Cricetulus griseus: one gene and its partner. The protein of the gene in region 2 purifies or fractionates together with the protein of the main gene of each other region. This does not show direct contact. Links are inferred from orthologs where the notes say so. Each region holds a gene or a part of one and is shown on either strand. Other genes may lie near its edges.

Region 1 (4,204 bases), on a different chromosome or scaffold from region 2:
CCTTCCTCTGGGCCCTTCAGTATTCACCCTTTCTGGCCAATCTATTTACAATCAACACAGCCTGACCCTTTCTGTACGTTATCCCTCCTGCTCTGCTTGCTTTTCCCACTTAACACTTGTTCCTAACATGCTATCTAGTTTACCACTTATCTGATTGTCTGTCTTCCCTCCCTTAGAATGTGAGAGGTTTTTGTCACTTCTGTTCACTGATACCTCCCTGGCACCCAGGACAGAGCCTGGCACACCGCCTGCACTGCACTGAACGGAAGCCTGTCCCCTGTCCCCCAGTCCACCAGCCCCGCCCTCACATGGTGCTAGAAGCCAGGTTGGTGTCTTCATGCTTGAGCTGCCCGTCCAGGGCAAGGCCACGCTTCTCCCGGTTGTCACTGAGCAGTGGGGTTATGGTGTACACCTTGCAGAACGTGGAACTGGGAGATACCTGGTCACTGGGGGTTGGGAACAAGGGAACAAGATTCTTGGAGAGACTGGACTGAGGGAGATTCATCATACCACCCTCAGGCGGTACTTCCTCCTTCTCTGTCCATCAGGGCAGATTACGAGGGGGTAGGTTCTGATGCAATCTGCTAACAGCCTGGAGCCCCCAGGCTGCAGAGGGACACCCTTAGAAGTGAGATAGGTTATAAGGAACTCTGCATTCTCATATTCTCCCCTAAGTTGGGTCCCACGGTTGTCCCATACTCACTCTTGCTCAAGCTGAGCCACAGGACACTTGTACTGCGCGGTGCTGAAGAGGCAAATGTCGGCATACTGTCTCACTGTGGGGTAGGGGACCAAGTGGCTTTGGGTGAAGTATAGACTACTACTGTACCACAACTCCAGACCACATGGTGTGAACCCCACTTGGGGGCAGCACACCCCCACCTCCTACCCCTGGCCAACAGCCCTCCTATAATAAACACTAGGGCTGGGCATCATCTGGGAACAGACTAAATTCTTTATGCCCTGGTAGTTCTCCCACACTGGGATATGGCCTGGGCTGAAATGGCAGCAGAAGCCCCTTGTAATCAGGGACTTCCTTCCCCACACCCATGTCCACCCCCACCTCCTACCAGAGACTCTAATCTTCTTGACGGTCTTGGCCGAGTTGTTGGTGACATGGACGTTGACATTGAGTGGCTCCCCGTGGTAATACAGCTTTTGAAGGGAGGGGATGACACAGTTTGCACTTGCTTCAGTGGCTCCAACTTGGGTACCTCTCTGATAGAGGCTGCTCTGCCCCACCTCCAACCCCAGTCCATAGCACCTCCACCCAAGTGAGGCAACCACCTTTAAAAAAAAAATCCCAAACCACCATCCTGCCTGTCGCTTCACCCCTCCCCCAGGCTCTGGCCTGCTTTGTGGCATCTCTGTCACTCTTTTACACCTCACCTCTTTGTCCAGGGAAGCCTCTAGGTGCAGGGACCTCCGGTCAGACATGAGGAAGTGGCGTGTGGTTTCTGCTGAGGGCTGGGGGCCAGGTATCTCTGGAGCAAACTGTACCTTTCTGATGATAAGTCGCACCGAGTTCCTGAGTCAGGGGGTGGAGCAGGGGAAGGGTTAGTTCCAAGACACTACAATTCAACTAAGATTCCTACCCCCAACAGGCGCCAGGGGCTCCATAAGGCTGGGAGGGAGTTGTTAAACCAGAGACAAAGTTTCTCTCACCTTTTGTGGCTTTTTTCTTCTAGAGATTTGGCACAGAAGGCACGAATCTCAAAGTCGACTCCACAGGCCTTGGAAGGGGGAGGAAAGGCCACCTCTTACCCAAGGCTCCTGTTGCCACTTCCAACACACCCCTTCCTTCCTACTTGCTTCATTCCCCTTAAGTGTGAACTTTTGCCCCATCTCGGAAACACGGACTCTCTTGCCCCACTGTCTCCTAGTCTGGCACCTTACAGAGGCTGGCTCATGGCAGTGCATGGAGGAACCCCCATACCCAGGTACATGTTCCAGATGCAGTGACCACACCATGCACACCCATGTCCATGGGGACACCTCCTTGTCTTCAGGACCCCCCTAAACTTCACCCTCTGGTTCAGTTGTGTTTTGTGCTTCTGCTGAGCCCAGTTCTGTTCACACACTGTGATAGCTGTCCCTCCCTTACCTTCCCTGTGTCCTCTGGTCCTGGCTGCAGTGTGACAGAGCAAGGCAAATTCTGGGGTAACTGTGGCAGAGAAAAGGAGGGGTTTCAGTCCCTGGTAACAGGTGCCTCATCCCATGTCAATCCTGCAGCCCCCCCCCCCCCCACTCCTCGGAGAAAAGGGAGCATCCTCACTGTGAAAAAAAAGGGATGGGCATGCTGGCCCAACTTCTTCAGCAGTCGGTCCTGTAGCCGGGTGGGGGGCCGGGGTGGGTTGGGCATGGGGGGAAAGGCTTGGTAGGTGGCAATGAACAGATCTTTGCGGAAAGACAGGCCCAGTACATCCAGGTCTTCTCGGCCATAGCGGAAGGCGCAGGTGAGGGTAACAAACACTGGAAAGCGAGGGCAAGGTGGGATGATCAAGAGACATCCTTCATGTCGCCCACATCCTTCCTCAGCACGACAGACTTCCCTGAATCCTACCCCCTGCTTCTGCCTCAGCCTTCCATCTGTCTGGGACACCCTACCAATGCCAACCCATCGAATTCCTTCTTCTTCCTGCCTCCCCTCCAGCTCCTGGACTTGGGTCTAGTACCTTTGCGGTCCTTCAAGTAGTCAGGATCCACGAGCACCACGCCATCTAGGAAAGGGAGACGTGGATTCATTTTCTGAAGGCGGCCTTTCCCCATCCCCAGAACCAGGAACCTCCTCCCTCCTGGGGGGATGAGCTACCCCCTTCTAGGCAAACTCACCCACAGGATCCACTTTGTCCAGGTGGTCTACAAAGTCGCGCTTGCCCAAGTACACGGTGAGCTGAGGATGTCAAGGGTCACAGGCAAAATTGGGGAGGATGGTGGCAAGCCACCAGAGCCCTCAAAGATGGCGGCCCTGTCCTGGGCTCCCCTTGGCTGGGTTATCAGGAAGGAGTTTCTCCCAGTGTTATTGGAAGGTGAGAGTGGTAGGGCTTTCCAGACTATTCAGTAAAGCTTTCATTTAGGCTTTTGTCTGCTCCTCTGGTCACTTTTCATACCGCTGTCCACCAAGCAAGGACAGAGGTGTATGTGTGTATATGTGTGTGTTCCCATGTCTTCAGGGAGCACTCAGTCAGACCAGGCAGTTAGCAGCTCTCCCCACAAAGGGCTCTGCAATAAACAGGCCACAGCCTGGGGAACTATTAACTTTTCCTAGTCCCAAGTACCCTGGGTTGGTTCCTAAGAGAATTACAAGCTTGCTTAGGAACCTAGCCTGGTCCCCACCCAGCCCTGTGGCTTCTTCAGACTGTGGCAAGGGGCTTAAGGAGGGAAGGAAGTCTGCTTTTAGCTGTCACAGGAAGTGGGGAGCTAAGGGTTGGGGATCAGCTGGGGGTAGGTTGGGCTTTGATAGGGCCCAGGAAGGATCGAAGCATAAGCACTGTGGGTGACTCACCTTGCAGTTAGGGCTCGACTTCTTGAAGACCCTAACAAAACAGAAAGGGAGACCCCACTGCCTCCCTTAGACTCAGCAGGGACCACCACACCAGGACTTATCCCTCCCTAGCCCAAGAAGTGGAATTCACCCTGGATCCCTGGTCTACCCTTCCCACTTTTTTTTTTTTTTAACAAAGTCCCAGTATTTTCCACATGGCAGCCCCTTGAAGCCAACTGTCAGGGCAAACACTTGCTCCTTTGATTTGATCCACCTCTACAGTAATGGCCACTGGTTGCTCCAGGAACCATCTAGACTCTCCCGAGGGCACCGTCCCCAGAAGAAGATGGGAACTAGATGGCTATCCAATGTCTGGGTCAGACCTAACACACTTTTCTTTTGAGACCGGGATTTAACTATGTAACCCTGGCTGGCCTGGAACTTGATATGTAGACCAGGTTGGCCCCAACTCTGAGATCCACCTGCCTCTGCATCCCTGATGGTGAGATGAAAGGCGTGAACCACCACCCTCAGTTAAACTAGCCACTTTTCAAATGACCTCTAGCTTCGAGGACACCTGGAGCAGTGCCTTGACTTTACCCCTCAGTTTCTACTGAAGGCACTGCCCACATCTGCTTATTTCATGAACCTCCAACATCCCCATCTCTGACCTCAGAATCTTAAAAAAAATGCATTTGTCGGTCAAGGCCTAACTCAGAC
Region 2 (5,197 bases):
ACACAGACTCTTGCCCAGTTTAAAAAGCACAGCTCATCATGTCCCAGCTTCCATTTCTCATGTCCCCAATTCCATTTCTGTACTAAGAAAGTGTGATGACAGATGGCAATGGACACAGGGGCCTAGTGTCAGGAATGGATGCAAATGGGGGCTGCCACCAGCTGGCCACCTGTGCAGGACTCAGGGCTACTTAGCTCCAATCCATTGCTGCTGGAAAAGGAAACAGATCCCTGATAAGCCCAGGAGTCTGAAATGAACATGAGTGACATCGTTCCGGTTTTACATTTAAATACTTCTGAGTCAGCACACCAATGAGACCCTCCTCTGCAGTCTGATGGAGACCAACACACTTGTAATGAAGGGAATGGCTGTTCACGTCAGTGGTGTCCCAAGGCTCTGTGCACAGGGTCTCCAGGGACCTCCAGCAGGAGCCTGAGGTGAAATGCTTAGACTTCTGGTGTTTCACAGGACTCCAGGCTGAGGTGGCCTTTGAATGCTTATGCAGAGGAAGCCAGAGGAGCATTGCCATCCTCCTCCCTTGGTCTACCCCAGCAACAGTCCCAACACACACATGGACTTTGTTCACTTCTTGCCTTCACCACCAAAGAACTATTCCCTGGCTAGAGGGCAATTCTCGGCCTCATTTACTGGCCCTTCCACCCTTCCCATGGCAGCCACCTCGCTCCACACCATCCCAACTCCAAAGCTTCCAAAGGCTCTTTGGTCACCTGCACTCTCTACCATGGCATCTGACCCACCTTCAGCTCTCCTCAAACTCAGAGGCCACCTCCTTCAGGGAGCCCTCCCTGAGGCGCTTTGCCGAGGCCTTTCTTTAGCAAACTGTCCTCCTCACAGTACCGTAGGGCCTTGACATGCTCCTGTGCTCCTCCAGGGTTCCCACACTACCTTTCCTAGTCAGTAACAATGCAGGTCCACATGCACAGGGAAACTCAAACCTTTACATTTAAAGTCTTTTATTTTAAGTTCTTAAAAAAAAAACACAGCTGGAAAACTGATAGGACAAGGCCTTGGGATAAGCCAGGGATCCAGGGAATGGGATGAACTCTAAGTGGGACCTCGCTGGGTCTACAGAGCAGAGGGAGGAAGGTCCTGAGGCCTTTGGGCATGGTGGATTTGAAGGGGGAGAGGCAGGTCACTTAAAAAATATATATATATACTGTACACATCTTATGCAGCACTCAGAGGGAGTGGGTGTGTTTCATCCCACTTCCTCTTGGGACTGCCTCCTCCTTGCAGGCTCACTGGCTAGGCCAGCAGCACATGCTGGAGTCAGCCATCATCTTCTGTTGAGGGAGGGTAAGTTAAAAAGTCCAGTCCCAACTCACACTGGCCAAAGGTCAGAGGTCTGGGGACAGCCACACTCTGACAAGACTCTAGAAGGAAACAAACCAGGCTTTGGTCACATATCCTGAACTTTATCTCCACAAGGAGAACAAAGCTAAGGGATGTTGCTTGGCCACCAGCCTCGCTCAAGATGTGGCATGTGGCTGATGTACTTGCTAGCAGTGCCCCTCAGTCCCACTGACCCTGGGGAAGGGAGTTGTTGTCTCTCTGGCTCCCTCTCTTACCTGTTCTATGTGTTGGCCCTCACACGGCAGGCTCTGCTGTCTTCTTCTGTGAGGAGAGAAGGGCAACACCACTCTTAGTGCAGCGGGTCCTCACCACTGCTGCCCCACCTCACAGGGCAAGGCAGGGGTGATACCTCATGGGTGTCTTCAGAGCCACACCCCTGTAGCTTCCACTGCTAGGCTTTCCCGTGCTACCACGCCTGGACCAAACAGCCTTTGACCTCATGAAATGGATGGCTGTCTCTTCAGTGAGCACCCCCACTGGTCAGGACATGTGGGCCAGGCATTTCCTCAAATCCCTTCTCACCTGGGAGCTGGCTGTATCACCCCTTGCCCACTCTTCCTCACAAGGTCCATTATAACTTGAGTCTGGGTGTTGGAAGGGGAAGGGTTCGAATTTCTGGCCCAAGAGCTCCCAGGAACTCAATCTACCTTTTTCTTCTTCTTCTTGATCTGTGAGTCAGGGTCTTTGGCTGACGTCTTCTTTCCTTTCTTCTTTCCCTTTTTGTCCTTGCTTTTTTTTTCTGAGGGAAGAAAATGAGCTCTGATACTGAGTGGGTCGGTGTCAGGAGGCCCACAGCAGCTCCGAGCTACTATGCCACTGGGAAGCCAGCCCTGGTGGGACCAGGTTATCCTTCTCGCTCCATTCTTCCTGTCCATGGACTACACAATCTAGGGCCTCAATACTAGCCATGCCAAGTTCTTTACCACTGAGATATATGTCCAGTCTGGAACTAACTTTAAGAACCCCTCCCCCATGTCCCTGGATGTGCAGATGGGCTCGTGTGGCTGCTGCAGGTGTCAGAGCAACCCTCCTGCCTGCTTACCTGTTCCCTCATTAGATAGCAATGGAAGCAGGCAGAGGCTGAGGCCCAGCTCCAGGATGAGAACAGCTGCCTTCCCTAATGTCAGAATGCTCCCGCCATGCTCCTGCTGCTGTGTCCTCTCCTGTTCTCACCTGATCTCTGTATCCCTCTAGTCTGCTTCTGGAGGACTGGCCCAAATGGGTTTCTCAGATGCCAAGTCTGTTTAAATTACTGTGTAAAAAAGACTGCATCATTCGGAACTTGAATTTTGCATTAATAAATGTTGGTGAATGCTAAATAAAAGATTACTTAGTCTAAAAGAAGCCCTACCCCACACTTATTTAACCCCATGGGTTCCCGACACCAGATGGCCAGATACCTCTTCTCCCAGACTCTTGCCACAGATGGGCAGACAATGCACAAAAGAGAATTTCCATGCTGGGCGTGGTGGTGCATCCTTTTAATCTCAGCACCCAAGAGGCAGAGGAAGGTGGATTTCTGTGAGTTCGAGGCCAGCCTGCTCTACATACTAAGCTTCAGGCTGGCTAGGCTACATAGTGAGACCCTGTCTCAAAACAAAGCAAAAGTGGACTGCCCAGCAAAAGTGGCCTTTCTTTCTCAGAGCCTGTTTTCCATTTAGAAAATGAAAACCAAAGTCCCCACTGCCTTGGGCTGGCAGGGCAACTCCAAAGGCACCTGGGTGCAGGTTCCAGCATGGAGAACAGTAAATGCTGCTTTCACTGAGGAGGAGCTGAATTCCAGAGGAAAAGATGGGTTCCAGATAAGGATGCATGCACATTCCATACCTCAGGAACCCACAGTGGACCTCTGGTGTGAGGTAGGTTGGAGTGGAGTGCTCCCTGTTTTCCATCCTTGTGAAGCTGGAGTTGAGCTTATGCTTTCTAAAAGCTGACCGTGGGTGTAAATGCTGGGCACTGCGAGGGTCTCCTGGGCTATGGGGAGGAGGGGATGCAGCCCAAGTGCCCCGCAATCTACTTTTGGCTTTGCCACCAGATGCCTGTTGCTCTAGACAAATCACTTCCCAGGCTCTTGTTCTTTGTGGAAAGATTGAGATAAAGAGGCCTGCCACCCAGCCCTGCATCCGCAGTGTATGATGGGGGAGTAGTCACTTACTTTTACTGGATTTCTTCTTTTCCTTCTTGTTCTTTGTGTCATTCTGCTGTCCACTCTCAACTTTTAACCCCAGCTCACTTTCGGGCTTCGCCTTGGCCCCTTGGGAGCCAGATGATCCCTTCCCCTTGCCATCAGCATTTACTTCGTCTAGCTTTGATTTTGTCTTGGAAGTCCCAGAGGCCTTCTTCTTGCTCTCTGGGGCCCCTGCTGCTAGCTGGTCCCCCGACAGCTTCCGCTTCTTGCCCTTCTTCCCACTCTCCTTGATGGCCTCTGTGGCCTTCTGCCTTTCCTGCTCCAGCAGTTCTGCCAGAACCTTCACCACAGAGGCCTGCACCTGCGCCTCGCTCAGGGACCAGGACTGTTCCCGGAGGCACTGGGTGATGCTGTTCTGCAGAGCCTGTGTGGGTGTTGCTGAGGTCCAGGTGCTTTTCTTAGCCTTCTTGGGCTTCGGAGGTGTGGTGTCTGAAGAGGTCTCTTTCCTACCTGTGGATCACAGGTCTCGGAGGTCACAGGTCTGGAAAGCTGAGGGACAGATCTTACACAATATATGAGAACTGACGGGGTGCACCTCCTTACAACTGTACAGATGGGAAACTGAGGCCCTGGGGGTCACTATTCCTCATCATCCCCCATGCTCATGCCTTACACAGGAATCTCACCCTAGCTTCCAGCACCACTCTATGTCCTCACATCAAAAACTACACCCATTTATAGCTGGAGATGGACAGTGACCCCAGAACGTTAATGAGAGGGTGGGCCTGAAGTCTGCCAAAAAGACCAAGGGATGGGACACAAGTGACTCAGATGGGACACAAGTGACTCAGGATCTACATCTGCCTTTATCAATCTACTGTAAGGCTTTGGCCAGATCACAGTTCCTTGAGGCCTGTTTTCCATTGTAAAACAAGAAGCTAGAAATACAATGGTGTCCTTTGCCATGAATTATAGATTTATAAAACAGGAGAAGGTATTACAGACTACTGTTCAGCTCTTGTCTGTGGACATTCACTGGCTCCTTGGCCCATCAAGGCTGGGGCCAGAGGCAGATAGGGGGAACTCTGGGTATGCTGTGTATGCATGTGGTGGCTGACTAAGCAGGTTTACTGCCTGCCAGAGTGACTTCTGGTGCAGCCTTTGTTTAGAATTTTCCACGCCTCTGCTTGCCTTTGATAATTGTGTGCTGACTACACGTGTAAAAAAAAAACCTTCCACAGCCCCCTCGAAAATGTCTCCCTGTTGCACCCGCCTCTCACATAGACAAGAACACTGGGAAGAAAGTGAGCAACAACTCCGCCTCTGACCCAGTGCAGGAGAGCCCAGATAGCAGATAGAGCCCAGAGCTTTTGGTCCCCTCACCGATTCTAGTCTCCCAAGTCACTCGGGTAGGTCTCTACCATTCTGTGCCACACAGAATTCCTACATTTTGGGCTCAGGGGTTGGACCCTGGCAGTTTATGCCTCAAGGAAAAGCTGACAGGAATGGAATGGGGGGCGGCGGCGGGATGGAATGTCCCATGTTATATAAGGTAGGGGATCCCCTGAATCCCACTAAATGTCATGTGACAATTTTCTGTATGTTATACGTTTGACAGTACATGGCAGCATTACTCTTGCCTTGCATGGTTAAGACACAGGGGCCCAGGAGTTTTTGCTACAGAGTGAGCCAGAG

Evidence for each region. The genes of interacting proteins can lie anywhere in the genome.
Region 1: the proteins of Tcof1 (region 2) and beta-arrestin-2 purify together in Homo sapiens (affinity purification with western blotting; 4 studies listed by BioGRID and IntAct, with this or other methods). This does not show direct contact. The link is inferred for Cricetulus griseus from reciprocal best matches to the Homo sapiens genes TCOF1 and ARRB2.

The regions. Positions count from the first base shown.
Region 1 is NC_048600.1:84,234,146-84,238,349, reverse strand, and holds part of beta-arrestin-2, read right to left. Parts: intron 3,537-4,204; coding exon 3,506-3,536; intron 2,894-3,505; coding exon 2,833-2,893; intron 2,721-2,832; coding exon 2,676-2,720; intron 2,473-2,675; coding exon 2,276-2,472; intron 2,165-2,275; coding exon 2,105-2,164; intron 1,734-2,104; coding exon 1,666-1,733; intron 1,529-1,665; coding exon 1,390-1,528; intron 1,156-1,389; coding exon 1,071-1,155; intron 777-1,070; coding exon 704-776; intron 447-703; coding exon 309-446; intron 1-308. UniProt on the Homo sapiens protein: Functions in regulating agonist-mediated G-protein coupled receptor (GPCR) signaling by mediating both receptor desensitization and resensitization processes.
Region 2 is NC_048595.1:178,279,790-178,284,986, reverse strand, and holds the end of Tcof1 (treacle protein), read right to left. Parts: intron 4,052-5,197; coding exon of another isoform or gene 4,020-4,051; exon of another isoform or gene 4,013-4,019; coding exon 3,531-4,012; coding exon of another isoform or gene 3,530-3,530; exon of another isoform or gene 3,526-3,529; intron 2,114-3,525; coding exon 2,022-2,113; intron 1,636-2,021; coding exon 1,590-1,635; intron 1,395-1,589; coding exon 1,359-1,394; 3' UTR 958-1,358; downstream 1-957.